4 linked regions of the Tamandua tetradactyla genome follow. The protein of the gene in region 3 interacts with the protein of the main gene of each other region in a pairwise test. Links are inferred from orthologs where the notes say so. Each region holds a gene or a part of one and is shown on either strand. Other genes may lie near its edges.

The links.
Region 1: the proteins of EXOC1 (region 3) and CEP295 interact in a two-hybrid assay, tested with the Homo sapiens proteins (2 studies listed by BioGRID and IntAct). The link is inferred for Tamandua tetradactyla from reciprocal best matches to the Homo sapiens genes EXOC1 and CEP295.
Region 2: the proteins of EXOC1 (region 3) and NUP54 interact in binary tests that used the Homo sapiens proteins (3 or more experiments, as listed by UniProt). The link is inferred for Tamandua tetradactyla from reciprocal best matches to the Homo sapiens genes EXOC1 and NUP54.
Region 4: the proteins of EXOC1 (region 3) and SRGAP2 interact in a two-hybrid assay, tested with the Homo sapiens proteins (2 studies listed by BioGRID and IntAct). The link is inferred for Tamandua tetradactyla from reciprocal best matches to the Homo sapiens genes EXOC1 and SRGAP2.

The regions. Positions count from the first base shown.
Region 1 is NC_135334.1:49,395,963-49,403,710, forward strand, and holds the start of CEP295 (centrosomal protein of 295 kDa), read right to left. Parts: upstream 3,291-7,748; 5' UTR 3,146-3,290; intron 652-3,145; 5' UTR 611-651; coding exon 496-610; intron 1-495. UniProt on the Homo sapiens protein: Centriole-enriched microtubule-binding protein involved in centriole biogenesis.
Region 2 is NC_135350.1:52,982,612-52,990,259, reverse strand, and holds the start of NUP54 (nucleoporin p54), read right to left. Parts: upstream 3,375-7,648; 5' UTR 3,208-3,374; coding exon 3,141-3,207; intron 1-3,140. UniProt on the Homo sapiens protein: Component of the nuclear pore complex, a complex required for the trafficking across the nuclear membrane.
Region 3 is NC_135345.1:56,284,846-56,293,063, reverse strand, and holds the start of EXOC1 (exocyst complex component 1), read right to left. Parts: upstream 3,209-8,218; 5' UTR 3,019-3,208; intron 104-3,018; 5' UTR 68-103; intron 1-67.
Region 4 is NC_135330.1:63,929,331-63,936,928, forward strand, and holds the start of SRGAP2 (SLIT-ROBO Rho GTPase-activating protein 2), read left to right. Parts: upstream 1-4,178; 5' UTR 4,179-4,388; intron 4,389-6,158; 5' UTR 6,159-6,706; coding exon 6,707-6,773; intron 6,774-7,598. Other genes in the region: protein FAM72A, read right to left, coding at 1,021-1,098, 2,581-2,732. UniProt on the Homo sapiens protein: Postsynaptic RAC1 GTPase activating protein (GAP) that plays a key role in neuronal morphogenesis and migration mainly during development of the cerebral cortex. Regulates excitatory and inhibitory synapse maturation and density in cortical pyramidal neurons.

The sequences.
Region 1 (7,748 bases), on a different chromosome or scaffold from region 3:
ATCCACTCATTTGATATACCCAAGGCTTGGTAATGGTAGAAGTGCCTATTGCTTTCCTCACGTTACGTGATGAAACAAATGCCTTTTGGGTTATAAGACTTGTCTAAAGAGACAATATCTAGTGGTAGAGCCAAGGAAAGAATCTGGTTTCCTTATTCCAAATGACTCCTAACTTTCTGATAGCTGAAACATGTGGAGAGAGAAAACCTTTATTTTAGCTGGTATTTTTTTGTGTAGGGATTAGAGAACAGAAAAAAAAGAAAAAACAAAATGAGCAAGACTGAATTGTCTTCACTATGTGCCTTTATTAACTTGTTGGAAGGTCTCTAAAAATCCACTCATATTCAACTATTAAAATGAATTCCTACTGAATCTCATAGATATCACTGCATGAAAGAAATCAGACACAAAAGAGATCATATTGTAAAATTCCATTTATATGAAGTTCAAAAACAAGCAAAACTAATCCATGATAAGAGGTTAGATAGGGGTTACCTTTCTGGTTACTGATGGATAGAGGGATACAAAGAAGCCTGGTAGGGTGCTGGAAATTTTCTGAATCTTGATCAACGTAATGGTCACAGAGATGCATGCATATGTAAAAATTCATCAACACTTAGACTTGTGTGTTTTATTCTGTCTAGATTATACCTCAACAAAAAGAAAAAAGAAACAACCTTGAATTTTCAGATTGTTCTGAGTATTAATCATCATTTTCTTTTGCCAAAGGATTAGAGGGAAACAATATACATTTGTTATTTTTAGTTCCTAAATGTAATAGAATAACCGTTTTCTTTAGTTATTCTATTACTGCGTGTGTATGTGCATGTGTATGTATATATTTTTTCCTTAACCTATCATTTGGAAATAATTTCAGAGTTAGACCAAGATCCAACGTAAGGATACATATTGTACTTGGTTATTGTGTTGGTCAGGGTCCTCCAGAAAGCAAATGCCAAGACAGGATTAAACCGCAGGTGATTAGATTTTATTAGAGAAAATGTCTGTGTGAGGGAAAATGGGAGGGAGCTGATTAAGGCTGGAATATAAGACTTTAATGCAATACTGATACTGAGCAAAGGAGGGAAGATTGAGTAGATGACTCTCAAACTGTCTTGCAATGTAAGGAAATTTGAGAAAGGCCTCTGAGAAATCCTCCAGCGAAAGTTCATTGCCTTGAAAGTAAAGCACTGCCCTAGTATCCCTGCCATCTTCAATTACTAGCTGGGGACAGCCCATGGAAACAGTAGCCTCCATGCAAATAGATTTTAGAGTGCTGGAGCCCTTGGTCAATTACATTCCTAAGGCTGAAGGTGTGAGTTGCTTCTTCTCTACGAGAAGAAGCTGCAAGGTTGTCATGTCTCCTTTGTCTCTTCTAATTCTGGAAAAATCCTGGCGGGTTATTTTGTTGAATTCACTTCAATCTGATTTTGTCTGATGTTTTCTTATAATTAGGTTGAGGTTGTGAATTTTTGGCAAGAATAGCACAAAAGTGATGATGTGCCCTTCTCTGTGCATCACATCAGGAGAAGGATCTTGATGCACCATTACTAAGGATCATATGAAATTTTGATCACTTGGTTAACGCTGACTCTACGAGGTTTCTTCTCTGTAAAGTTACTACTTTTCCCTTGTGAGTTATAACTATCTGTTGGAGAGATACTTTGAGGCTATGCAAATTTTCCATTTCTCATTATTCTTTTGTCCATTAATTTTAGTGTCTAAACAATTACTGTGGAGTTTATCAAATGGTTATTTTCTATTTTTATTATTGCTTCTACACTCATCAATTAGAATTCTACTATAAAGAAGAACTTTTCCTGTTACCCCAATTAATTTAATTACTTATTCATATCAATATGGATACATGGATTTAAAAAATTCTATGTATAATTACTACCCAATAACTGTTACCTTAATATTGAAAGCAACTCTTATAAAAATGTATGTAAACCACTCTTACTCATAACAATCCTGGTGAAGAACTATTTTTACAAACCAAACAGGTATTATAGGTAGTATAAGTATAAATTAGCAGGTACTAGTATTTACCCATCTACAAAAAATTCAGCAACACACTATAAGTACTTTAAAAAAAAGCTGTCCCAGGTGACAGAAGGTATTATCAGCAGAATTCTGATTTTCTCAAACCTAAACAAGTGTTTTCTCCTAAAACACACTTTTAAAAGCAGAGATTTCCTGTTGCTTTGCAAATCCTTAACCTAATGAGCTCATAGTAGTGTGCTCTCTCTACAACAGGAAATTGGCATTGAAAAACAGTGAAATATGCTCGAGTTGTGGAGGCAGAAACATATTAGCTCCAATCCTGACTATTCACTATAATCCCAAGAAGCACATCAAAAACGGAGATATTTCTCCTTATCTACGATTTTGTCCTGAAGATCAAATGCTGTGGCATACGTAAGGGGCAATATAATCATTCAATTAATAACAGACTCGGGAAGATTTGGGTTTAGACCCATCACTGCCACTTACTAGCTGAAGACACCGACTACGTCAGTCTCTTTGAATTTCAGTTTCTTAACCTTGTATGATGGGGATAATTATATCTACCCCAACAGTTCGGATGATTATGTGACTTAATGAAGGTGAAACTGCCATATACATTCTAAGTATCAAAGATTCAAAAGTTGGTTATTGTTTAAAAACCTCAGTTCGTGGCAGGATTATTAAATCCTGGGAAATTAACGGTGCCACACCAGAAGAGTGTACTTTCTGCATAGAACGATTCCAGCCAATATTCACGGGTAATGTGAGGCAGGACGCGTCCAGAAGTGCTTCCAGCAGTGGCGGCGGCGGCGGCCCTCCCGGCTGCCCGGGACTAAGAACCCGCGCGACCCCACCCGGCAAAGGCGCTCAAAGCCACAAGAGCAAAAGACCCTGGATCAGCCTCTCGCATGAAGCTGGCAGGCCTGGGTCGGGACGCATCTCCTGACTGGGCGCTCCTTACTTCTGCCAGTCAAACCCCATCGAGAATCGAAGGTCTGACTAAGTCTGAGATGTGCCGGCCATGCTGCGTTCGCGACGCGGCACGGAATCCCTTTCATTCTAAGCACACTCCTAATTCGTGAGGCTCAGGGAGTCATGCACATCCAGGTTCACGGGGAGCCGATATGTCACTTACCTGAAAATCTGGAGCCAGGGCCAAAAGCCGTATCCTAGACTGCCCGGACAGCCACCGCCACTCAGGTTCAAAACAACCGTTCGTGCGCCTACGGGGCAGCCATAGCTGTGCCATCGTCACTTCCGTCATTCAAACCGCCCACCAATGGCGGGAACAAACCGCGGAAATCAGCCTGGCCTCGCCTCCCCCTGGGGCTGCCGGGAGGGCCGCGCTGAGGTAAAGCCCCTCTCCTCGCGCACGCGCACATGCACGGGCCGGTCATTCTAAGGTCCGTGGTTTCTCACAGGTTACAGCGACTTTGAAGTTTTTCTTCATTGCTTTCAGTATGCCTATTTTACAGATTAGGAGACAGACATACCGAAAGGTGAAGTTATTTGCCCAGAATCTTGAGATTGATTTTAGTCTAAAAACTCCATCACGAAGATGCCTTAAAATATGCATCTTTCTATATACTGATATATAATTTATTGGTACTATTATACAACAGTTAGTTTCTGATAGCTTTCATGTAAAGACTCTAGCTCTCAAAAATGAATCATATGTTACTCAGTGACTCCAGAGGTTCGAGACAACTAAAACGGGTCAAGGATCTATCTGCTACGAACCTGTAATCAAGAGGTGAGCACAGGTTCATGTACCGAATACCTATTTTGTGCCAGGTACTCTAGGTGCTAGGTGAGGAGGTACAAGGGTAGACTGAATCATGGCCCCTGTCCCACCAAAATGCAGTCTAGGGAGTTAAGCATACCAGAAATTAGGGGTAGGGGTAAGGGTGCTGTAGGGGTTGCTGACCTGATTAGATTCTGTCTGGGCTGCAGAGAAGAGATTAAAGGTTGAAGACTAAAAATTGAAAGACAGGAAAATCAATTAGGATATTATTTATCCTAGAAATTAAAGATGATAGTAATGAGAATGGAGAGAAGTGGGTAAGATTGAGAGAAGAGGGTAGATTTAAGAGGCAAAAAAGAAGGCCAAACATCAGGAACTGATGGTTACTTGGTTATGGGAGGAGAAAAAGAGGGCGAAATAAAGGGTGATGCCCAAGTTCCAGATTGTAGATGAGTGGGTGGCAAGGTAGAGGAGGTTTGGGGAGAGGAAGTAATGATTTAAGCTTTAAATAATTTGAATTTGCTCTCCTATGGGCTGTCTAGACAAAAAGATGTAATCCAGAAATATTTTGGATGCAAAATTAGCAGTGCTTGACAAATAATTGCATGTGAAGTTAAGGAAAAAGGAAGAGTAAAGTTAGCCTCACGGGCCACTAGTTGAGTTGCTATGATGATCCATGGGCTGAGGGAGAAATCAGCACGAGTGGGAGTTATTTAAGTGGGCAAAGTGATGAACTCAGCTCTGGACATGAGAAACTTGATGTGCCTGTGGAATAGTCAGTGATATCCAGCAAACTGATAATACACTGGAAGACAGCCTGCAGAAAGAACTGGGCTAAATTTGGGTTCCAATGCCATATGAGTAATAACCAAAACTCTAGGAGTGGATGAGATCACTTAGGGAGAATTCTCGGAGTGGGAAGAGCAATGAGCTAAGTACAAAAGTTAAAGAGAAGGAGTTGGAGGAAAGATCAGCCAAGTGCTTGAAGAAGAAAAGCTGTGAACCCATTTTGGTTTACAATCCAGGAAGCTGAGTCACAGATAGGTTCTGTGACTTGGTAAAGAACATATGTAAGTAAAGGGTAGAACTAGCACTGAAATTCGTTTCTCCACCCCAAATAGTAGGATTCCTCCTCTCTACCTCTCCCTTCTCCAATCTCCTCTCATATTTATCTTTGTGTGTGTGTATGCGTGCATGGACTGGGAATTGAACCTGAGTCTCCCACATGGCAGGTGAGCATTCTACCACAGTGTCATATTTATCTTCATGAGTAGTTCTTTTTATACATTCCAACACCCTCAACATAGGTTCAGAGATACCCTCCACACCCATCAGAAGATGTGCCCATCATTTGATGTTTTGGACTAGGTTTAGTGCCTACCATCCGTTCCAAAAGCACCCTGCACATTACCCATCATGACACCTGTCCATATTAAAATGAGCTGTTTTATGGAGCTGTCTTTTTGCACTAGATTCTGAATTTCTTGAAATGAGGAAATGCATTTTGTTCAGTTGCCTTGCACATAGAGTTTCTCAAGTATTTGTCGAATGAGTGAATGATATGCACTTTTTCCCCAGCCTACATCCTGTGGCTGAAATTCTTCAATTGGACATTTTGAGTCAAGGCTGTTTCTGTTTTTGAAAAGAGGTAAGGAATTAAAAAAAAAGAAAAAAGCGCAGTGGGCTTAGGTCCAAACATCTGGCTTAACATCCCAGCTCTGATACTTTCTAGCCTAAGTCAAACCCCTTAAACCTTATTTCTGTTTTGGTTATCTATTGTAAACCGAACCACCCCACAATGAAAAGGCTTAAAATAACAACCATTGATTATCTTTTATAGTGTGCTAGGTTGAGTGACCTCAACTGGGTGGTTGTTTTCCATGTGATATTGGCTGGAACTTGGAGACATCTGGGAGTTTGATTGTGCTGGAATGTACAGATGTTTCACTCATACAATTGGCAGTTGAGCTGGATGTCAGCTGAGAGCTCAGCTAGGACGGTTGACCAAAGTACTCTTCATGTGCCTTGGACTTTACACTACATGGTAGCTGGATTCAAAGAGAGTATCCTAACAGTGAGCATTCCCAGAACAAATGGAAGTTGTAAGTCCTTTTAAAGGTGAGGTGGAGAAGTAGTGGTAGTAAATTTTGCCACATTTTGTTTAAGTATCATAGAGCTAGCTCAGGTTCAAGTGAAGGGTAAATAAATTTCATCTCCCAACAGAGTGACAGGGAATTTGCAAGCATCTTTAATCCACCAGTTCTTTATTAATACTTGTCCTGCCATCCATCTTCATATAGTAGTTGTGAGATTCACAAGGCATAAATTCTGTAGGAACATTTTGTAAACTCTAAAGAGATATACACTTGTTAGGTAGCCTAACTTTTTTGTTGTTGTTGTTTTTCCTGTTCCATAGCAAATTCTCCTCCTTCTGGTACAGAACCGACCCTCCAGGCCACAGGGTTAGGTTTCTTACCCAGCTTGGAAACAAGAATGGGCACATGACCTCAATTGGGCCAATCGGGGTCTTTTATCCTTCCCAAGAGTTATTCATACTGGAACCTGCAGGGAGGAATATTTTCTCTCTAGGCTTTTATTAGGATATGAGCATATGTCCCTGCTCAAATCTAATATGAGTTCTATCATGATGGTTGAACTGGTGAGGGGGCCAGTTCTATGGGTATCATATCCTGGGGCTGGGATTATATCTGTCTTCATTTATTCATCAATTAATCTGAGTATCTTCTACATACCAGATCTTTTCCTAGATGCTACACTAGTGAACAAGATACGCACTTTGCTCTCAAGGAGTTTAGTGTAATTGACCTCTTGTTCTTGTTTACAATTCTATCTTGATTATATGTATGATTTTTTTTTTTAGCGATCTTGTAGGTTTACAGAAAAATCATACAGAAAATATAGTTTCCATATATGCCTCCTGTTATTAACAATTTGTATTAGTGTGGCTCCCTTATTACAATTAATGAAAGAATATTATTGTAATTATACTATTAACAAATCTATAGTTTACATCAGGAGTCACTGTGTTGTCAAGCCTATGTTTTTAAAAAGTTTTTATTCTGGTAACATATACAAACAACAATTTCCTCTTTTACCTACATTCAAATGTGTAATTCAGTGGTGTCAATCACATTCACAATATTGTTCTACATGAACGCCATCAATTGACCCGACCCGCGGGACAGACGAACCTGGACCTGAGGGAGGGAGGTAGAACGGGGGACAAAAGACACAGAGAATGGAGACAAGACAGGATTCTGATCAAGTCTCGTTTATTGAAGGCGAATCCAGGGTATTTATGCAGCAAGAAAGGGGAGGTGACTTGTAGCGGACGTCAGCAGAGGTTGGGCATTACCCTGCAGTTAAGCAACCAATCAGCAGGGACCAAGCTGGGAAAGGCTGATCAGCCAAGGCAGGTCCACTGATTTCGGGGAAAGGTAGAGCAGAAGTGAGGAAATAGAAACTTAACTTGAGTTAGTACCTAAGATGGCATCAGGCCACAAGATGGCCGGCACACTGCCGGTGCCATAAGCAGTTTCCCACAATCCATTACCAAAAATTTTCCAACATCCTAAACAGAAATTCTGCACTTTCTGAAATTAAGTTGTAACTCCTCTTTCCATATTCCCACCCTGGTGCCTGTTAACCTGGATTCTAGTTTCTGACTCTATAAATTTGCTTATTCTAATTATTTCATATTAGTGAGATCATAAAATATTTGTTCTTTTATATCTGGCTTCTTTCACTCAACATGATATCTTCAGAGTTCATCCATGTTATTGCATGTATCAGAATTTCGTTCCTTTTTACAACTGAATAATATTCTACTGTAATTGTGTTCCACATTTTGTTTATTCATCTGTTGATAGGCACTTGAGTCGCTTCCAACTTTTGGCAATTGTGAATAACGGCACTGTGAACATTGGTGTGCAAATATATGTTCAAGTTCCCATTTTCAAATCTTTTGGATATA
Region 2 (7,648 bases), on a different chromosome or scaffold from region 3:
ATGACTGCTGCAGGAGAATGCATGTTTAGTAGTGTCATATATTTCCATTTTTCCCCCAGGAAAGAGGAAAAATCTGGACTTTGTGAAATCTACTGATTTGAATTCTAGCAACTAATTAAAGTCATTTTAATATCATGTTCCAATTAACCAATAGTAAGCCAAACATTCATTAGCAGAATGAACTGCAAGTTTCCAACCCTGTTTTTTTTAATTAATGTATATCCACTTTAGCTCATTATTTCTATTTTGTCTCCATCGAGACTCAGCAACTTTCCAAAGAAAACATAACAATAGACTGACCCCTATACATGAAGAATAGATTTCTTGAAGGAAGAGGTAAGGGAAAAAGTGCACAAGTGGAAGGCAGTGCCAAGAAAGTGAGAAGAGCTAAATATACTTCTGACACAATCTGTCAACTATGACAGAAAAATTTCAGACAGCTACATATGAATGAAATGTTAGTTAATCTACAATAGTTTCACGTGTTTTTTTTTTCTTTCTTGTCAGTCTTTAGCTGATTAGCAATGTGGTACCAAAAAGACTTTCAAGACAAATGTTTGGAGACCCTGCTTACTCTGAGTTATGGAGCAGATTTTCTGAGAGTCTAACCATCTTATATATTTCTAGTACACAAGACAGAGATTCATCAAGACTGTAACATAAAAGATATAAGAAAAAACCAACCTTTGATTGTAAATCATATAATTCTGATTAAGGAAATTACTCAAAAGTAGACTGTATGTGGCATGCAGGGATAACCAAATATCCTATTTATCTGTAGGTCCTACTGCAGGGCTGCAAACTGTAAACATTTTTATAAAAATCACCTCAAGTATTAAACCTTGTTCTTAATCTTTTACATTAATCCTCAAGTTCGTAGGATAAGATATTTTCTAAATTGACTTCACAATAAAGATATCAGTCACTATATTATCTTGTCCACAATACAAGAATATTTGTTATAGCTGGTCTACAAGAGTACAAAATAAAAACGTAAACAAGAATTTCTATCAGCCATTTGCAAAAGGTTAGGTTAATTAACATACATAAAAGTAGTTAAAACCGTTTCATTGCCACAATATAAAACATAACACCAAATGAAGAATGAAATCAAGCAAACAACAGGTTTATTTATATTTGTTGAATATGAGCTGGTGGCTTTACTCAGAAACAAATTTCAAAATAATGTTTCTGTTTTACCCAGTGCCAATTTTAAGCAAACAGGGAAAAGTAAACATACTAAAAGACAGGGGCATGTGATCACTTCAAATATATCTTAAAAGTAATCATTCGTTTTATCTTTGCAATTTCAAACACCCTTTAAACTGTTTTCAACTCAAACATCAGCGTGATATTCAGATAGCAGTAACAAGTGAAAGCTCAAAGTAGCAAACCTTCCAATAAATTTTAGAGAAGAACCTTTACCAAATGCATATAATTGGCATGGGCATAAGTGGCATAATGTAGGAGAATATGGACAGTAAAATTCATATACGAGCAGCTAAGGAACAAGATTTTTCTATAGGGTCACTGTATGTAAACTGCGTACACAGACCTACTTTAAATTTACACAATCCATTATAGTTTTTGTTTTGCAAAATTTTTAATAGATAGCAAGATCTTCACAATGATCTTTTAGAGTGCAAAGATGTCTATCCTATCTTTTAATATGGTTCAATACTACCTGAAAATAAATTTAATAATTCTAATTATATCACCAAAATCCAGTAAAGAATTATACAGTTACATATCTTACAAAAGTGTATCCTAATCTGTAGAGTTGACTACAGAAATATATTATTTTTAGACAGGTTAAAAAACCAGACAGGTCACTGCTGTTCGTATAAGACTTGTTTCCCTTGGGAAACAGAAAGACAATCAAATGAAGTCGAAATGAAAGACGAAAAAAAAATGAAAAATGACTGCAGGAGTCCAAGAATCTCTGGAAAATGGGCCTAAACGGTGAGTTTACACTTTGGCAGATAAATCTAATAATTCGGAAGATACATTCAAAATAATAACCCATTCCAAATTCTTGTCATTTGGAAGATACACTCAGTTCAATTAAGTGCAAATTTAAGAAGGGAACTTCCCAGAATCTTTGAAGATTCAACAAGACAGTTAAAACTTGATACAAATGCTTTTTTTTTTTTTACAAATGGTTTTAATTAGACATTAGGAAATCAATTTCCTTTATTAGACAAGTCACTGTTCTGTTCTGTTCCAAATTCTAGGAACCACGAAACATTCTTGGACTCCAGCTCCCAACACTAGTCACACATACGACCCGCAGTATCTACCTGCACTTGCCAGACTGTTACCAAAATTGAATGGAGGCGCCGAGGTAGTAGAAACACCGAAATTCCCAATATTAAAGTTCACTGCAGGATTAGCAGTTAGTCCGAAACCCCCAAAATTAAACCCACTGGCGGCGGAGTTGGCAGTCTCAAGCCCACCAAATCCTGATAGGCGTGAAGGCAAAGAAACAAAGAAAACAATTTTTAAGGAGAAAGAAGAAAAAAAAAAAGGAAAAGATAAGAATTAGAAGAATCAGCAGGTTTCAGAGAAGTGAACAGAAACAAACCTGACTGCTCCAAATGAGTTAAGAAAGCACAGGAAGTGGGGAAGAGCAGGAGCAGCAGCGTGAAGACCCGTAGGAAGGACCAAGGACCAAAGGGCTCGCAGCGTAGGCACCTGCCTGTTCCGAACTGATACAGAGGGAGCCGCAGGGCAGCGTCCGGAGCTACCCAAACCTAGCTTCATCCAGTTCGGCTGCGGGAGCCACGAGAGCTTTCCCGCCTGTCCCAGAAGCTAGGATAGGGAGGGGAAGGCGGGTCTCAAGCAAGGGGAGAGGGGAGTCTCACGGAACGGGACTCCCCGGCGGCGGCGGGAAGCGCACCTTGGAAAGACAGGGCCCTGGGGAGACCCACGCACGGAGCACGAGCTGCGGGTTGGACCTCTAGCCCCTCGGCGGCCTCCTCAGGAGCCGCCTCCGCCCCTCCACTGCCGCCCGCCCTTTTCCGGATGCCCCCAAATTTCTCGCGGGCGGGAGACCGCAGGATCCCCCAGGCCCGAGGAGGGGCAAGAGGGCCCGAAGGCTTCCTCGCCTCCCCAGGAGAAGGTCGGAAGGGACCACTCACCCGCGGGAGCCGCGGGGGCTGCAGAGGTGCCCGAAGTGCCCGAAGGAGCTCCAAAGTTAAAGGCCATGTCGCGGGAGTCAAAGCCCAAAGCACTCTTCCCGGGACCCTCCGTGCGCACGGTTTTTCGGTCCGGCTGGGAAACCGCCGTACAACTCACAGAGTTCCGCCTCCTTTTTGGCCCAGCCTTAGAGGCGGGATGCGCGAAGGGCGCAGGGGTGGAGGGTCGATAGGAAACGCCCCTAGTTCGGCTAGAGGCTTTGTGGCTTCACACCCGGCGGGTCCACGTGACAAAGGTAACGCGTGGGGAAGCTCGCGGGAGCGTACCCACTGTTGACCCTGTCTTAAAGACGTTTTTTGAAAAAGGCATGCAACAGGCTGAAGTTGTTACCGTTGAGATATGCGGCGGGCTTCTTAGAATACGCGTGTTTGGTGGTAGGGGTCGAAGATGTCCTGTCAAAGAGCGGTCCTAAGAGGACCTGGGTTGGGGTCGGGAAGGCCCCCTCTGAGGAAGTGGTGTTTGAACCCAGTCTAGAAGAATGATTAGAAGAAACAGAGGTAGGAAAGAAATGGTATGTTGAGAGAACTTAAAGATAATGGAAATAGTAGCAAACACTTCGTTGTGTTTACTCGTTAGGCACAGATTCTAACCATTTTACATACTTTAATTTAATTTAATCCTCAACTGCCCTGTGAGATAGGTTATTATTACCCCATTTTCGGGAGGAAGAAATAGACACAGAGGGACAGGCTGGATCCAGAATCTGTGCTCTTAACCTCTAAGCTGTAAAGAGAACACTGAAGTGAGGGGCAGAGTGGCCCTCTGTGAGGCACCTGCACCATCTAAGTACTTAAATCTGTGCCGTTGCGTTCTACTTGAAATAGTATTTAGTCCTCATATTATTAACGTGATTTCTCTGTTATTAACGTAATTTCACAGGAAATGGGAGGACCGGGGTTTAAAGTTGCTAAGTAGCTTGGCTAAGGTCGACTTGTTGGTGAATTCTAGCCTAGGTAGTTGTTTTTGGTTTTTTTTTTTTTAATTTTTTTTTATTGTACAATATAGCATATATACAAACCAAAGAGAGAAAAAGGCAATAGTTTTTAAAGCACTCTTCAGCAAGTAGTTATAGGACAGATTCCAGAGTTTGTCATGGGCTACTATACCATCGTCTAAGAGTTTTCCTTCCAGCTGTTACAGAATATAAGAGGCTAGAAGGAATAAATGTTTTTTTATCATCACAATCAACTTTTTTTTTCTTTTTTGTGAAAAAAATATATACAGAAACAATTTCAAACCACAGTACAATTAGTTGTAGAACAGGTTTCAGACTTTGGTATGGATTACAATTTCACAATTTTAGGATTTTACTTATAGCTACTCTAAGATACTGAAGACTAAAAGAAATATCAACTTAGTGATTCAGCAGTCATATAACTTGTTAAACCCTACCTTCTCTATATAACTCCACCATCACCTTTGATCTTTCTATCCCAATCTTTAAGGGTGTTTGGGCTTTGGCCATTCTAACTTTTTCATGTTGAAAGGGGCTGTCAAGAAAGAAAGATAGAGGTGCCAAGATGGCAGCTTAGCAAGGTACGGGGTTTAGTTCTTCCTCCAGAACAGCTAGTAAGTAGCCAGGAACACTACAAAACAACTGCTGGGGCCACTTCAGTGACCAGACACACAGCGTACCCCAGTCTGGACCAGCTGGACCAGTTGCAAGCCCCCCCAGAACCGTGAGTCCCCCAAGCTGCAGTGGTCGGCACCCCTCCCCAACAGGCTGCTTCCTAGGGGTGAACAAAAGGAACGTTACTTTGCAGCAGAGGCTGAGCTCAACCAAACTCCAGTTGCTGAATTAATTCACAAATTCTGACTACTAAAAATAGGGCCCTAGCTCAGGTGAACCTCCTCAAAATGGAGGTTGCTGATTTTTGCCCTGGCTCTGAGGGGGCAGGGGTGACTGAAAAAGGAAAAAAGAAACAGAGGTTTTTTGGATCGGATAGCATATAATACTTGAAGGGGTCTGGGCCCTGAAGGAAAGGAGGGGGCACATAGAATCTGAAGGTACACAGTCAACATACCAACTTATGCTCTTGATTGGCAAACCCAAGAAATGGGGATCCTGCTCTGAGAAGGATTTTTCTCTTTCTTTTTTGGGGGCTATGTTCTACAAAGACTTGACTGCCTTTGGATACAGCAGCAGGGCTTCTCAGGCTGCAACAGCCCCAGGCATAGGCATAAACAAGCTTGTTTTAGAGCTTGTCTGGAGCCTGTGCCTTCCCTAGGAGAGGGGAGGGGCCTAGCTCAGGTGGATTCCCTCCCTGAAAGAATTCAGACCCCAGGGGGTTGGAAATTTGAGGTGATTAAAGCCATCCTACAACCTCTCCACTGTCTCTGCCATGCCCCCAGCAGGGAGAATCTCCTGAAGTTAAAGGTACCACATCACCTTATGCTGGTGGGACCTGCAGGCAGACAAGCACCACATACTGGGCAACATAGGAAAAACACAGAGTCCAGAAACTTCATGGGAAAGTCTTTCAACCTGCTAGGTCTCACCCTCAGGGAAAATCGAAGCAGGTGACTCTTTCCTCCTGATAGGAGGCCAGTTTGGTCTGGGAAAATCTGGCTTGGGTCTATTATACCTAAGTAGACCCTCCTAAGATGTGGGGTGGGCGGGGAAGGCACCATACAGGCAGGGCAAGAAACAAGAAAACAAGAACTGAAAAATTCTCCTCTGTTGAACAAAACCTAAGCTAGAGGTCCAGAATAAGCTGAACTGAATGTCAAAGAACAGATAGACAACAAATTCATCCAGCAAGAAAATCCTAGGTAAAAGAAGTGAAAGCAATCTCCAAAATAAACTAATTAAGGTAATTAAATGCCTAGATGCCAGCAAAAAAAATAACGAATCACACAAGGAAAATTAAAGATATGGCCCAGTCAAAGGAACAAACCAACAATTCAAATGAGATACAGGAGTTGAAATAATTAATTCAGAATGTTCAAACAGACGTGGAAAACCTCATCAAACATCAAATCAATGAATGCTCAACTTCCCTGGCTATTAGGGAAGTGCAAATCAAAATCACAATGAGATGGGCGGGCCATGGTGGCTCAGTGGCAGAATTTCCGCCTGCCATGCTGGAGACCCGGGTTTGATTCCCGATGCCTGCCCATACAAAAAAAAAAGCTATAATGAGATATTATCTCACACCTACCAGAATGGCCATTATCAGTAAAACAAAATGACAAGTGCTGGAGAGGATGTGGAGAAAGAGGCACACTTATCCACTTTTGGTGGCATGTCAAATGGTACAAATGCTGTGGAAGGCAGTCTGGCGGTTCCTCAGGAAGGTAAGTATGGAATTGCCATATGACCCAGAAATACCATTGCTAAGTATCTACTCAGAGGACATGAGGGCAAGGACACAAATGGACATTTGCACGCCAATGTTTATAGCAGCATTGTTTACAATTGCAAAGAGACAGAAACAGCCAAAATGTTCATCAACGGGCAAGTGGCTAAACAAGCTGTGGTATATACATACGATGAATATTATGCAGCTTTAAGACAGAATAAAGTTATGAAGTATGTAACAACATGAATGGACCTTAAGGACATTATGCTGAGTGAAATTAGCCAGAAACAAAAGGACAAATACTATATGTTCTCACTGATATGGACTGACATTAGTGAATGAACTTGGAGAATTTCAGTTGGTAACAGAGACCATCAGAAGATAGAAATAGGGTAAGATATTGGGTAATTGAAGGTGAATGGATACAGATTGTGCAACATGACTGATTGTAAAAACTCAGAAATGGATAGTACAGTACTACCTAACTGTAATACAATTATGTTAGAACACTGAATGAAGCTGAATGTGAGAATAATAGAGGGAAGAGGGCTGGGGGCACAAATGAAATCAGAAAGAAAGATAGACAATAAAGACAGATGGTATAATCTAGGAATGCCTTGAGTATATAATGATAGTGGCTAAATATACAAATTTAACAATATTTCTGCATGAGGAAGAACAAAGGAATGTCATTACTGCTGGGAGTTGAAAATAGATGGTAATTAATATTTTAAAATATAATTTAAGTGAGACTAAAGCAAAAAATATATATTTGGTACAAAATTTATATTTTGACTAGTGCATTTCCTATTATAACTTATGTAGATAGCTTGATTGAACACCATAAATACTTGGAATCTTGGGTAGGGCATGAGATTTTGTTGGTTTGTCCAGAGTGATGCCCCGATGAATCCCAGAGTGATTTGATCAGTGAGTGGAAAAATATTTGCATCGGGGAGTGGTGAGAAGGGGAGAAATTCAACTTCCCCAAGTTGAATTCTTGATATTCTCACAAGCAGTGTGGACAACCAAAGCTATAGACTGACCCCCCAGTCTTGGGATTTGTTCATATGAAACTTAACCCCACAAAGGATAGGTCAAGTCTACTTAAAATCTAGGCCTAAGAGTCACCCCCAAGAGAGCCTCTT
Region 3 (8,218 bases):
CTTATCCAACACAACAGGATTTTTCAAACATCGGATAAGTTAACTTAAAAAAAAAATTAGATCTCACCTGACAGGCCGGGGACCTAGAGCCAATTCCCGGTGCCTGCCCATGTTTAAAAAAAAAAAAAGAATCTTAATTTTATTTTTTGTACATATATATTTGTGTGTAAGTATATTGCTATTTTTCAATCCTAAGTATAAAGTATTTTATGTGTTGAGTTTGCCTAGAAAATTAAATTCTCTTTATAACACTGTTTCTATGGAAAAATGAAGAAATTATGAATGTCAAATGAGTTGCAACAAGTTTTTAAAACACAACTGATATTTCTGTAAAGTAGATCTCCTATATTTTACTCAATCTGTGAAGCTTCTATCTTTGCTCCAACTCCAAAAATTGCTTTCTCAAAAAAAATCATTCTCCTGCCTCCTTCATCTTTTATGACTCCCTCTTTCCTCTAATCTTAGCTTACCTGTTCTCTTTCAGCTGAATTTCTTTTCCCACCTAGCCTGGAAGCAGTGCTCCTTTTCCTATATTCACACTAAATTATTCAATAATCTTACCCTGTTGGTTGACCAACTGATCCTTTATGTTTTACCAATCTCCTTAAACTGTCTCTATAGTCACTTAAAAAAAAGCACATACCTAAGTTCTCTGAATACACTACAAATATCTAAATCCAGCCAGTCAGACTTTCAATGTTGCTCAACAATTCTCTAACATTTAATATGTTATTTGTTGCTTGCTTTTCCCATTCACCATCTCTGTTGTCGCAAATCTTTATTACTCTTCCTTCAGCTCCCAACTCTAGTGTCAGGTTCCTCATTCTCTGCAAATGACTTCATCACCTACTCTGCAGAAAATATAGAGAACATGACGTACAATTCTCCCCAATTGCTTTCTTCTGCATTTCTCTACATATTCACCCATCCTAACCTCTTTTCCATCTATTACTAAATACTTAACATGCTGTAGGGCTTAGATAAAGTGTTAAAAGCTCTAGTCCGTCCTATATCCAAGCCACATTGAACACTAGCCAGTTTAGGTTTCTATCTCTGAGCTTTTTGCTCATGTAATTTCCTTTTCCTGGAATTCTTTTCTCCTTTGGAATTCTACCCCATCTCTTTTAAGATACCAGTAAAATGGCACCTCTTGTGTGAAGTAGTCACAAAATAATAATTCCACTTCTACTTCTCTAAAATTTTCTTTTTACTCTGTGAACACTGGACTTGCCAACAGTATTTTCTAGCTAGCTGTATTCTTGAGTAGCTCTTTGTAGGCAAGGATCATGTCTTATTCATCTTTGTATTCCTAGAACTGGCACACTGCACATAATATACATATTATAAATATTTTTAAAAAAACACCAAATAACATAACTACAGCTCTCCCAAAGTTCAAGTCGCACATCTGCAAGCAACTGTCCAGGTTCAAAACCTCAGTCATATTTCATTCCCTTCTCCATTGTCAACATCAAATCTTTTACCACATATTGTTGCTTTCCTCCTGTACCAGTAATTTATTCCTTCCTTTCTTTTCCCACTGCCACTACAGTAAATTAGGTTCACATTACCTATGTCTATTTAATAGTACAGCATACAGTTATATCTTCGCAAGCTTCCACAATCCCCAAGTTTCTCATAAATAAATAATCTTAAAACATAGCTTTCATCACACCACACCCTTGCTCAATAGTTTCCTAATGTTCCAAAGATGAATATTCTACTCAAGCACTCTGTTCATTCCAGGCTTTAAATTTTTGCTCAGGTGCTTTTCCATGCAGGGAATGTTATCGCCTCCCTAACCAAACTCTAATTACTTTTATAGTTTATGTGAAGTCAAGATCTTAGGTACAAATTGATCTCCCCTCTCAATGTCTATAGCATTTACTACATTTATTAAACAAGCAGGCGCTTGGTGACTAATTGGTTCTGAGATCATAAATTCCTGGATCTCAAGAACTAACTGTAAAAAAGGGAGGGGGTGTGGGGGAGAGAGTGAGCAAAATGCTCTGTCAAAGTTTGGGTTTATGGTAGGTACTCATGAAACACCTCTTGAGATAACATGAACTGAATAGTACACACTGGTCAAATAAATGGACTAATGGTGGCCAACATTTACAACACAGTCCCTCTCAGGTCAAAAGCAGTAACTGAAATGTATGGTAGGTGGTAAAACAAGAGCGGATTGGGCATACCTCATAAAGGAGTTAGGCATAATGAAAAGACCCCTCATTTGTTCAGCAAATATTGATGCTTACTAGGGGCCAGGTTACAGTAGTGAACATGACAGACATTCAAGAAGATATATCCCTTCATGGCATTTATATTCTAAGGATCAAATGATAAGCTCTCCAGACTTATGTACTCTCCTGTAAATCAGTGAGTAAATCACTTAAAGTCCTCCAAAATTATTTCCCAGGTCTATGTCTGACAACGTTCCACAGGCAGTAGTCCAACGCTCACTCTGCGGTGGATTTACTCTCTGTGGTGAATTTGTCTGTGTGACAGCTTGTCAGTGAGTGTCCGTGGATTGGATCCCGTACGCTGTTGAAACATTTTAGCTCGTGGCGCACTGTCACCCAGAACAAACAAAAGCGTACGGAGTCAGAGAATTGTACTCAAGATATTTTAGAAGAAAATGTGGGTTTTGACTAAAAAGTGGAAGACTGTTACACCTCCCTTTCCTGGTCCACGCCAAAGCACGTACGATTAGGGCCGTTTTGCACAAATGAAGTCTGGTTCCTAAAAGGCAGATCCGGAAAAGGATGTGCGAGGACTGCCGCCCCTGCTACATATTCTCCTAGGCCCCAGAGAGCAAGAAGGGGAGTCTTGGCCGGACCCAGCGTCCTACCCAGAGAGGTGGGAAAGGAAAAGAGGACCTGGCAGCTGATGGAGCTATGCTCCGACCCGGGTCGCCGAGCCAGTAGCGGACTGAGATGCCACCTCAGACCCTGAAGCCCGCCCGCTCGCCTGCCCACCGCCGCAGGGTCTACTAGGCAGCCGCGGCCGAAGGCTTACCGCAGGACCGGCCCAAGCCCGCCTGCACCCAGGCGGGTCCTCCAAGACGGAGAAGGGGTGGGACTGAGGCGATGACTGCTACGGGAAGCGCCCCTCAGTTAAGCAGTGAACGGGAAACTGTGGTTCTACTACCACTTCCCATATCCGGACACGTGACAAACCTCAGAACCGGAAGTGGGCCCCGTAGAGAAGGAAGGAGAGGCGGTGGGAAAAGGGGAGTGGCCAATGACGCGACGGGGAGCGGCACCACCCGAAAGACGTAGAGAGGCGGGACCTGGCGCTGCCAGAAGGGCGTGTCAGGAAGGGCAGGGGCGGGGCGAGGCCTTTTGGCGCGCAGGCTGATCTGTGATTGGGTGCTGCGCGATATTTACTTTCTCTGGAACATTTATTTATTCACATATTTGCAGCAATTCCCTTCAAAAGAGTCCGATTAAATGTGTGTGGGTTTTTTTGTTTTGCATTTGTGAAGCTCGATTAACTCTAGACCCTTGCTACGCAAAGCATGGAGAACGAGTTAAATCGGAATCTTCGGGTTCGGACCCAGACAGCAGTACATCTGACAGCTTCCCAGATGACTTTAGTATGTAATTGAAATCGCTAAACATTGCTCTAGTGATCTCGATATTCAAAAATGTGCTCCACGGGCCAGTTTCATGGGCACTACTTGGGAGCATTTTAGAAAATACAGCCTCTCCAGCCCGGTGAAGATAATATTGAATCTGCATCCCAACATTTAACTTTTAGAAGCACAGGTGATGCCAGTGTTGCTGTTCTCAAGGCAGATGATTCATTGATTCCATAGCCCTGGCAAGTGTTTTATTTTCGGGTACTTTGATTCCAGAGGTGATTCAGATGTGTAGCCTATCCTAAAAAAATTCACAGTGCGTTAGATTAGTCAAGGTGTAGATACAAATAAATATAAAATAGGATACAAAAATAAGTGACAGAAGAGAGCTCCGGGCTAGATAAGCGTGCTGGAAGTTAAAAGGGGCGATTTATTTCCTCCTGTTTGACAGTCTTTCCCAAGGGACTGCAAGGATCCATTCATAATTCATTAACTGAACAAACAACCAGGGCTAATTTTGTGCCAGTGTTAGCTGTTGAAGATACAAAGACAGGAAAGTCACCGAAGAGGAGGCACACTCTCACCGGGGAGGAAGAATTAAATAGACGGATAAATTACAGTTTAATGAAATAAATCTGACAACAGAGGTAGAAAAAGTTTGTGCACCCTGAGAATGTACAAGAGGGAGTAACTCACTCTGTCAGGGATAGATTTACTGAGAAAGTGACAAATAAGCTGTGCAAAGTATCTTTCAGTGTTTGTCTGAAGATAAAATTCAGTGGGAAAAGCATCATAAATAGGTGGTCTGTTTGCTGTGGAAATCATAATGTTCCAGTCACACTGCTTTCGAAGACTTCATTTTCATGGATTGACTCCCCTTTCAAAAGCATGATCTCTATCTAGGCTTTATTTCTCTATAAAGACCCTCTCTGTCCCTATTTATTTGCATGTTTACAGCCCTCCTCAAAATTGAGAAATAAATTGTATTCCAAATGTATTTACATACCTTGAGCTTTTTCCCTGAACTCCACGTTTGTAGATCTAATTGTCTCCCCAGCATTTCCACATGCGTGTCCAATAGGTGTCTGAAACTTAATGCATCCAAAAACGAAATTCTTTTCTATTCCCTCCCCTCCTAAATTCCCCCCAAATAAAGGCATAAACAAGGTTTATGTGCCAATAGTTTACTTGGGATTATGAACCCAGGGAGCAAAAAAAAAAAAAAAAAAAGGGAAGGAGGAGGGAAAGTCAACATAAGCATATGTTATTGAGTTAGCCACTATTATTTTCTATTCCCTAAGATCTTCTGAAAAGTGCTATGCAATGAATCTCAAAACTGTCCACTGAGGAGAAGAATGGAGAAAGCATTTATCTGTTGGCTCCTGTCCCCTTTGATCAAAGGTTAATGCCCCCAGGATAATAACTATTCAGTACTTCCAAATTACACAATTGTTAATGCCAAACTGGCTCCCACCTCACAGGAATCGGGAAGTGAGAGGAGAGCAGTTGCCATGTTGGACTTGCCGAAGGTTGATCAAACCCTACTTAGAGCAGTTTGCTGCAGCAGTGGTTAGCAAAAGAGGATAAGGGGGTTTGAAGTAGTTCACAGGTGTCCATTTCAGTTCACTTCTTGAACCACTCAGATCTGCTTGTGCCCTTCTTTAAATTCTGTCCTTCATAGACACTCCTTCAAGGTTGCAGAGATTGCAGCTGCAATTTAATTTAATACAAGAAAATACAAGGGATTTAATACAAGAAAGTTAGTGGATAGTCTTCAGTCCTTGCTCTACACTGATGCCCAGACCATATTTGCATTCATTAACTCTGTCTTCTACTACCCATCTAACTTTCCCTCACCCTTGGGTAGCACATCGTCTAATCTAGGTTACTTCCCTAGTAAAATAGCCTAGACCTTATTTTCCTTGCACTGGTTGGGGCATAGTTACTGCAGTTGGCCTGTTCAACGTATCCCTGGGCACAGAAACACTAAGATACATTCTAATGAATTCCTTAGATTACAGATATGTTCATCCCTGCTGCTATTGTATAGAATATAGCAACAATTCTAGCTCCTTTACTAATCACAGCTGGGTACTCCTACTAGTACAGTAACCAACTCCTTTCTTTGCACCTTGTTCACTGCCATGAAAAGACCAAAGTAACCAAGTAATAGTGAGAGTTTCAAGTCCAGTGAAATCCATACTGTGTATCCAGATGGAAACCTGAATCCCAGAGGGAACCATTTATTCTGACCTAGCGAAGTCTAAATTTGAGGGGCAGGAAACACAAATTCTGTTGGTGGGTCACTGGGAGTGATAATAGGATCACTTAGCCTGAGTTTCTGCAGTCACGCCTTCTAGCTATTGGAACACTAATTTGGTTAATTCAGTGCATTTACCAAATCCTGTGGGACAATACCTCAATCCACAAGGTGTGATCCCAAGCAAGCACATTAGCTAAGGCTGTAATGGGTCATTCCATCATTTTATGAGGCTGGCTGCTTCTGGGTGATTAATGATATGGCGTTATCAGTGGATTTTGTGGTTATGTATGTCTTGTCACACTTTCCCTTTCTTATTTTTTGGTCGCAAGTAATGTTGATAAGAATTGCTATAATTCCTGTGATTGTGGATGCTGGCAGTGGATGCAGGCAAGAAAGACAAACTCAGGAGTTTTTAAATATGTTTACCGCAGGCCTCTTCTTCTTCTATATAGAGTAAATCATGAAGTACACTGCTCCCAACTCTGTCATCTTGGAAACTCCCCTTCACCATTGTTCTTTAAATTTATGCCTGAGTGGGGCCTTAGAACTCCAATGTTAGCTACTCACCAACATAACGGGACAACTCATTTTTTGGACCAGGCTCGAATTTTTTCATTTTCATTAAATGGTCATGTAAAGAAGGATTTTATAAAACTTAACAGTAGCTAACTTTTCTTATGTAAAGAAGGATTTTATAAAGAAAAGAGTTATGGGCCCCATCAGGCTAAAACAACCCGGGACTTCCCAGGGGCGGTTATCTGCTGCCTTTGTTATGCAAGGTTATCTGCTGCCTTTGTTATGCAAGGTTTTCTGCTGCCTTGGTTATGCAAGGTTGTAACTGCCGGAGAAAGTTTATCTAAGAATGCAACTGAGAAGGTTGAGTAAGGGAGTTTTGCATGAGACAGCTGCTTCTTGCAAGAAGCAGCTCCCATGACTCATGCGCGAAAAATGTTTGTTATCTGCTTCTCGCAAAATGTTCGTTATCTACTTCCTGCATAAAGCAGAACCTGTAACTAATGTTCAACCCTCAAACCCCACACCCTTATCCTGGCCCTCAAAAGGCTTCCCAAAACCCAGGTTCGGGGCTCTCTGTCCCTGCGTGTTCAGTGAGCCCCACGCATGTGTGGTAAATAAACCCCTTGCGTGTTGCATGAGAGAACGTCTCTTGGAGTCCTCCTTTGCACGGCAAAACTCTCAAATTCTTACAGTCATAGAGAACTTCCAGGAAGCCATAGTTGTGAGATGGTTGAGCAGGAGACATCAGTGATACAGGAATAAATGCCCTGGGAGTCAGAATGACCCATTCATGTAATTTGCTTGAGTTTTCTGGATGTGCTCAGGTTCAAGCCTATTCAGTATCATATTTCAGTAGATTTTTGCTATCCCCATGGACTTGTGACTTGGTGGGTTTGATTATATCCAGCTCATGTTAGATAGCTCTCTGCCTGAGAAGATATGGCCTTGAAAATACTAGTTACCTGTCCTGCAACTCTTAAAGTGGGCTTCCCACAGATTTCACATGGCACTCTTATCTACCACTGATCCGTCTATCATCATCAGACAAATGTGATAAATGGCCTGAGCACTAGGGCAACGTGTACCACAGACTGAGCCTACTGCAGTGTCCTTTCTTGCTCTGGGCCACACTTGAAACTGGCACCTGATAAATGGGTTAGAGCAATATTCCTAAGTGTGCTATATGCTAAATGCAAAGAGGCTCATTAATCCTGTACTTCTTTCTTAGTTGTAGTAGGTGCAAAGGGCAATAACTTGTCTGTTATTTTAAAGGGGGGTGGCCTCTAAAAGTTTCACTGATGATCAGGTCCTGAATCTCCATGAAGTTTATTTCTTACCTTCTAGCATCTAGAGTACTTGTCACTTCCTACTCAATGAGACCAATCAGTGTAGGAGCCCAGCATGATATTCTGAAGCATGTTAAAGTGATTAAGGTCCCCAACACCTCTATTGTGGCCAAGAGCAAAGTTAACATAGTCCTGGTGAAATACCGTGAATGTGTACTATTGTAAAATGAACTGTTTCTGAATCTCTTTACCTTTAGGAATTGACAAGAGTGCATTCACCAAACCAAGAGCTGCAAATCAAAAGATTTGTTGATCTCTTCTACATTTCTATAGGCTATCACTTAGTTAAGATTATGGTAGTTCCCCATCATTCTCCACAACCCATCTGAGTTTTGTAGTGGTCAAATAGATAAAAATGAGTGGGGTTATAAAATGGTGCTAATCTCTATCATTCCTACCAGGATACATTTTTACTTCTGATTTAGTATCTTGAGCAACAGCTTCCACTTGGCCCTTTATTTTAAAATGCTCATAATCTGCAGTTTAGGGAATACCTAAGGGAAATCTATA
Region 4 (7,598 bases), on a different chromosome or scaffold from region 3:
AAAACAAAGTCTTTCCTCAATAATTGTTTTATGTTGGTTAAAGGCTGATATTCAGATATAGTGAGGAAAATAAAATATACGATTAATATTAATTTCACATGTTTCTTTTTAAAATGTGGTTACTAGAAAATCTTTAATCATATATGTGCCTTGCATTATATTTCTATTGGGTAGCACTGCTCTAGACTATCTAGTCTCTGACCCTTTTGAATAACTTTTACTACTCTCCCCCCATGCCCACAATGTCTCAGCCACATTGGCCATCATCTTTTTATTCCTTAAACATGTTAAGCTTCTTTTTGCTTGGGCTCTTTGCATTCGCTGGTCCTTCTGCCCAGAATATTGTCCCTCTGGCTCTTCACTCGTTGGAACTCAACTCCAATGTTCCCTCCTCATGCGACTGTGTCTCTAAACATGTTATCTAAAATAGTCCTTGTCCACTCTCCCACCTCCCAACCTCTATTATTCTCTATCAATTATTATTATTATTATTATTGCATTTGGAACATTTCCCATCATTTTAAATATCTTATTTACTTAAATATCTCATTGTCTTTCTGCTAGAATATAATTTCCAAAGGCCAATGACATTGCCTTGATTATCATAGCAACTCTAAATGAGTAAATTAAAAATACATTTTAATTTTTATTTTAAAATAAGGAAATAGAGGTTTAGAGGTTTAAGGAATTTATCAAAGATCACAAAGAGAGTAAGGGAGGGCCAAAGCTCAAACCTAATTTCTATGACTGTAAATCCAAGTGTTTTTTTCCCCCTAAACTACATTGCCTTGTTCCGAAATTTAAAGTGACATTTGTGAATGCATTTCAAAAAATTGTAAAATCATATACAAATGTAAAGTATCATAAAACCCTTTTTCACTGTTTTAAGAAACAAATGTTTTTTTAATGGATAATTGCATAGGTTATAATGAGTGCTCATTGCAGCCCATTGATGCTGTGCTTCAGCATCAACATCCATCTTCCAAACCCAGGGCTATGTAAAATATTGTGACAAATTACCATTTTAAACATGCGATGTCCTTCAGTTTACATTTGCAGATTTCAGTGAAATAACATCCTCCAATGAAATCCACTGCACTGGAGAGGAAAAAGTGTAGAAATACACAAATGTACTTTTGATTGTGATTTTTACACAAGTTTTGTAGACCTAAAAAGCTGAGACTTGCATAGCCATAGCATATTTTGTAAGAGTCAGTTAATATTTGTGAGCTTACCATAAATAGCTGATAAAATTTCCATTTAAAAAATCTTGTGTGTTTATTAATTCACACATATTTAAAGCAAGTTAATCCACCACTGTAACTCCTACAAAGGAGAACGGATAATAGGAAAGACCTCATTCACCTATCTGAGCTCTTTTTATGAATGCCTTATTACTTACCAAAGTTATTGCAAAGATGAGTGGGTTAATTTCTTAAGTGTATGAAAGACTGTTATTAAAATGAAAAAACACTAGAAAATAAATCACAGAAACCTTGCAATAGTAAGTTTTATATTTACTGTCTAGTGTTTTCTTTTTTGCCGTACATATGCAAGCACAAAATTTTAACTCATTCATTTCTGCAATAGGGAAGAGCCTTCGGCTTTGCTGTTAGGCATGACAACACTTCACTTAAACCAATTCAAACCAGGACTTCAAGGGAGGAAGAGTAAACAGTTTTAACTGGGTATATTTTAAAGATTAAAAAAATTCTTATGAAATTCATTTTAAAAATGTGGTTATTAGCTTGCTTCTCTTGGTTTTGCATGTAAAAACTTGAACTGTCCACCTATATTTTGGCTAATTATCCTTTTATGTTAATGATAAAGTTTCAATAAAAAGTTAAATCTTGAATATCACGTAGAGCACATATGTATATGTTGACTATGGAAAGAGAAACTACCTTTTAGAGTTGGAAAAAGGTACATTTGAGCAAATTCTTATGGACTCTACCCTAAAAAAGTGGTTGAAAAAGAATTTTAAAAGAGTTTAATTATGTGCAACGTATTTAAAATAGGTTTTAAGGGAGCAAGGGTTAAGGGCTAATTTTCTCTTTCATTCCATAAAATCTGTCTCCCATTCTTCTCAGAAAAAGTTTGGAAAAGAATACTGAAATAGATGGACATGGATCTGATTCAGCAAGCTAATTGTAGATAATGATAGAAAACACTGGTTTCTGGTGTGAAATATTATGGATTAAGAAAAACCAAAAAACTTAAATGGCCTCTCTTCTCCAACAGCCCAGAAAACCGTGCCTGAATTTCCCTAGAGAACAGGTCATGGACTTGCTCCAGAGAGATAGGGTGGCTGGGCAGGGCACCGCGCCAGATCCAACCCAAGGGATATGTGGTCACATGACTATAATTGACCTAGAAGCATTACATCAGGATTGGCCACTTTGGCCAAACCACAGACTTTGTCCAGACAGTCTGCCCACTTAGTTATACACCAAGGGGTTATCAGACGGTTGGGACTAGCTGGAACACCAAAATGATAACCTCCTTGTTGACTCCCAGAGGTCCAAGCCGTACACTTTTCCCACTTAAAGGCTACCGTTGCCCGCCACTAGCATGACTTACTTGGTAGGAGGAATGTCTGTAGAGAAAAGGTCTATTTCAGTATCAGCCAGCAAAACAGCCTTCATTCCCCTAGAGCTGAGCACTTGTTTACAAAATTTGCAACACACGATGGACACACACCGGTCCTTGAAACTACAGCTGTTGGTTGACATGGCGTCTCAGGAAGGATGAGGTGGGGGATTTTGAAAAGTAAACAAGAGCAGTACCCTGCCTGGTTTGGTTCCCTTAGGCTGAAGATCAAGTTATGAGGCTTCCAGCTTTTCTAAGCCCTAAAATTGAGAAGGAAATGCGTTCTTTTCTGTTTTCCCGGTGAGAGGGTAAAGGTAATTATTTATTGAGTAGATGCAGGGAAGAAGCAGCAAATTTGGCTTTCCTTTCAACTTTATGGAAAGGGAGTAGAGTTTGAAGTGGGGAGGAGGCAAGCTGCAAAGGGCTTCGGGACCTTCTTTACAGCTTTTCTTTTCCTCTATCAGAACAGATCCTTTCCTCCCTAGCGCCCGCCGCTTCGGCAATTCCCTTAGCTTCCCTAGTAATACCTTTCCTTCAAAAATCTTCCCTTTTAAGACGTCCCCTTTCCCAGCATGAAGCTCCTCCCTTGGAGCACTCCAATTCCTCTCTCGAATCGTGGTTTAAGCGTCCCTACCCACGCCTCTTCTTTGGAAATCTTTCTCTTCTTCCCAAGATTCAGAAGTCCCCTCAGCTTTTCCCACCGGTACGATCCTTGGTTCTCAATCCTCCCTTTCTCTCCCGTGAACCTCCTCCGCTCTGCTCGTTCGCAGGCCCCTCGCTTTACTTCTCTCCTGGCAGCCCCCAGCGTGCTCGCCCTCGCGCCGTGGCTCTCGCGTACTCCCTCTCCGCCCCTCTCCCTTAGTGACCCCCGCCGTCCCCGCAGCTCTCCCCCGGAGCGGCCGCTCGATGCGCGCGGTGATGGTGGTGGGGCGGGCTGGGGTCACTTTGAGGGGTCTCAGTCGGCGTTGTGGGCTCGGTCACCCAGCACGGCGTTTTTTGCTCCCTCTTCCGCTTTCTCTGCCTTTCCAACCGGCTGTCAGTTTGAATTACCAACGCCGCGCCCAGATTGGGAGAACTCAAGTTCGCCCACGTTGCGTATTGGAAGGTTCTGGGGCCTTCCCCTGTTGAGATCTTAGTGGCCTGGAGACCGGCCGCCCCGCCCCAGTAACGGTGCCGAGATTAGTTCGGCTCTGTGGTTGGTCGAGCTTGGCCCCTCCTCTGGTCTCATTGGCTAGCTGCGGAGCTTTGGGCAAATCCCTACTCCCGCCATAGTGAAGCTGACAAGGCACGCCCTTCGCGCTTCTTATTGGAAGACGTTCTACATTCCCCTCCGGTCTCTACTCTCCGTTGGCTAAAATTCTCCGCAACGCACCACCTCTCTTACCCGGTCCAATTGGTGGTGCCTTCTCTCAGGAGTTTGTGTTTGGCTGTTGGTTCCATCTTAATCCCTCCCATCGATTCTCCTCTTGGGTTCGACAACCCGAGGAGGAGCTTATTCTGTGACCACGCCTCGGTAATACTAGTCACACCTCCAAGTTTCTCCAGCCCTTCCTCTTCATTCCTGGCCTCCTCGGGATCAGCTATTCCTATTGGCTAATGTCCCCATCGATCGGTAGAAAACGGGCGGTGATTGGCGAGGGGGTGGGTTCTGCTTCCCGGCGGGGTCCTGCGGAGTTGGCGGAGTCTCCGCTGGGGAGTAGGTGGCCGAGCTGCGTAGAAGCGGGTGGCGGGGAAGAGAGGGGTGGAGAGCTGAGTGGGAACCGGAGCCGGGGGCCTGGGACCCGTCGCGTCAGAGCCAGGTAAAGGCTCCTTCCCTCTAACATTTCTTCTTCCAGTCCGCCGAGCAGGAGTCTTGACTGAACAAATCCGGTTAGAGGCGGGAAGGAGAGGGCGCTGATGCCGCTTGCGGCATTGCCTTAGTGGTGCCGCCCGGAATCCCTTAGATTCCCGCCCCCCACCCCCCGCCCTCCCAGACCCTCTCCAAATCTCCCAGTACAGCCCATAATACTTCTCAGGGCTGCGTCTCTCTTCGCCTTTCACCGCACAGCCTGGGACTCTGCCCTTGCTCACATGCCGCAGCGCCGCGCGCAGCCGGTTCTCTCCCCAGTTCCTCCACCTTAGTCTACGTTTTCGTCAGTCGTCGTTGATCCCCGTGGCCATCAGCTTCCTTGGTCTCCAAGTCGTGACCCAGCCTAGGACCCAGGATGTGTGTTCTGCACTGCTTCCGGGGATCTTCCCCTGGCCCAGCTCCCCGGCTCGCGGCTGTATCTACTCCCATCGCCAGATCCACATCGCGGTCCCCAAAGTTGCTAATATCCTTGTGTTTCATGTAGTGTCACAGTCCAACACCCCCCACCCCAACCTGATCCTTCTCTTGCCTCTCTCTGCCTTCAAAGCGTTTTCAGATATGCTCCAGTCATTCCCGGGCCTCAGGACCCCATCTCACCCTCCCCCGCCCCAACCCAGTTTCCTGCCCGCCTGATCCACGCCGCCTCTGATCCCTCTCTTCCTCTCTCCGTGCAGCCCTTCCTCCGCCGCGGGACGAGGGGGACACTAGCTGGTTGTCTTCTCCTCGCGGAAAGGGAAAGGGACGAGGAAGGAGGGAGGGTCGCCGCCGCGGCGCGTCGTGGAGTGAGACGCCAAGGTCTGCGCTCGCGGCGGGTTCCCTCCTGCCTCCCCCCGGCCTTCGCTAGGGCGGGATATCCTCCCGCATCTCCTATGTCGGGGAGTCGGGACTTCGACCCTCAGCCCCAGAGTACACACACGCACACACACACTGTACACACGCACACACACTCATGCACTGCTTGGGATTGGGTGCGTATCTGAGTTTTCGGGGCACGGATGATACTGGAGGGGTGGCATTTAGAGTCACTCTCCTCCCTGGCTGGGGGAGGCCACGGCTGCCTTCCGCCCCCGGGTTTTCCCGGCTCTGACCCTCGCCTCTAACCGGTTTCCTGCTTCTGCCGACCACATTGTTTTCCTGGATGTGTCCCGTGCCGAGTAGGCTTTTTCCTGCAGATTCTTCCCCTCCCCCGCCCCCCCAATATTTTGCTGCCAGGGGAAGCTAGTAACCAAAAACAAAACAACTGGGAGGAGGAACGGGAGGGAAAAGAAGTTGTGTTTCGGTGGCTCGTTGCTTGCGGGCTTTGATCCCTCCTTTGAAGTCCCGGGGGTTGTCCCAGCCGGGGGTCTGGGACCGCGTCAGAGGCAAGGCCGGGAGGGCCCCCTCGGGCTGGCCTCTGCCCAGCGCTGGCGGGGGCCGGAGGCCAGGCGGCAGCCGAGGTGCCGCAGTCCCCGCCCGGAGCCCGGTGTTCCCGTCGCAGTCCCTGCCTGAAGCTTGCCTAGGCGGCTGCTCCAGAGTGTTTTCTTTCAGCCTTAAAACAAAATCCGGAGGGAGCTTCCTTCCTCCTTTCTCAGCTGCACGGGGCTCAGCGGGCCAGGCGGCGTTTGGCCGCTATGAATGGGCCCAGACCGGGCTCGGAAGGACGTCCCCTACCCCACCCCCGCCGCGATTAGAATCTGTGCTCGGGCTTATCGCCCCCCTCCCCCTTTTCCTGCATTTACAGGCAAGTGAACCAGAGCAAACGACTTCCGATCCAGTCCTCGCTACTGCGGCTCCCGTTTGGGATTTGATTTGCAGCATCTACGAGCCTGTGCAACAAAAAACCGCGAAGCACGCCCAACCCTCCCTCGGCACCCCAATACGCACCCACTGTCTCTCTCGGGGACACAGCTGGGCGCGTCCACACCCCCGCAACCCCACACCATGTTGTTGTGCGGAAGGACTTCCACTCCCCGCCTGTGTCGTTGATGTCAGACCCCAGGCCAGCCTCCGGGCGCTGCAGTTCTCCCGGCTAATGCTGAGGCTGCGTCGCGGGCTCTAGCACAGGAATCGGCAGGCGCCGCGCCCGGCCCCAGCACCCACCGTCTGCATGTGCCCGCCGTAACCGTTTGCCCAGTCCGCAGCCCGCGCTCTCCCCGGAGCGCTGGAGACCACCGCGGGGGCCCCTTCTGCCTTCGGCAAAAGCGGTCCTGAAGGTATTGATTTTGGTGGTTGGCTTTTTCTCTTGGATCTATCAATTCACAATTCGAATTTGGAAGAAAGAAGGAAAACATGACGTCTCCAGCCAAATTCAAAAAGGATAAGGAGATCATAGCAGAGTACGATACTCAGGTCAAAGGTAAGGACTTTGAAAAATAGCATAATGCATGTGCTGTATGGACCTGTGAGGCATGTATTTCCATCCTGACTTGCAGACTCTTTGGGTGGAGCAGGTGGGGTGAGGCCGACCCCAGAGGTGGTTTCATAAGTGGTTGGGAATCACCAGTGCCAGGAGCTAAGGGACGTTTTTGGAGTGGGCTTCAGATTTGTCTTTTTGAGGCTGCCTGGGCCATTATTATGGCAGCCCTTTCCCCCAGGCTGTACCAGGTGGGGGGAGGGGCCGGAGGTTCTTAGCTGGAGAAGGCTGCAGTTTGCCTCAGGATGTCTGGGCCAGGTTTCCTTGAAGGACATCTGAAATCTGACAGGTGTTTGGAAATTTCTGTATCCGAGGTTGAAGAAGAGTCCAGGCAGGGAAAGGCAGCCTTGAGAAGGTGTACCATTTGAGAGCCCTGGGAGAGGTGGGGACTGTTGCTGATGCGCTCTATCAAAATATGAGATTTGCTGTGGCATTGGTCACAGAAAGTCCATAGCTACCTTTGGTGTGCACCTCATACCTACCTGGTCCCTGGTTGCCTAGCAGACAGTCAGAGAACAGACAGAATAAGGTCACCCACACCTGGTCTCCAGTCTCCAGCCTCATTTAAATCTGAATGGAGTTGGGTTGTTAGGGTGGCCAGTTGGTGGTGATTCTGGAAAATGGGAAGACGTAATTGTTTAACCCTTGTGTGTTATTGCTGTCTATCTCAGAATACATGCCTTTAAAGCCCTATTTTCTTCCCTGCAAAAAAAAAAAAAAAAATGTGAAGGTAAGGCAAAATGTGGACCTGAAGAAAATCAAGCCACC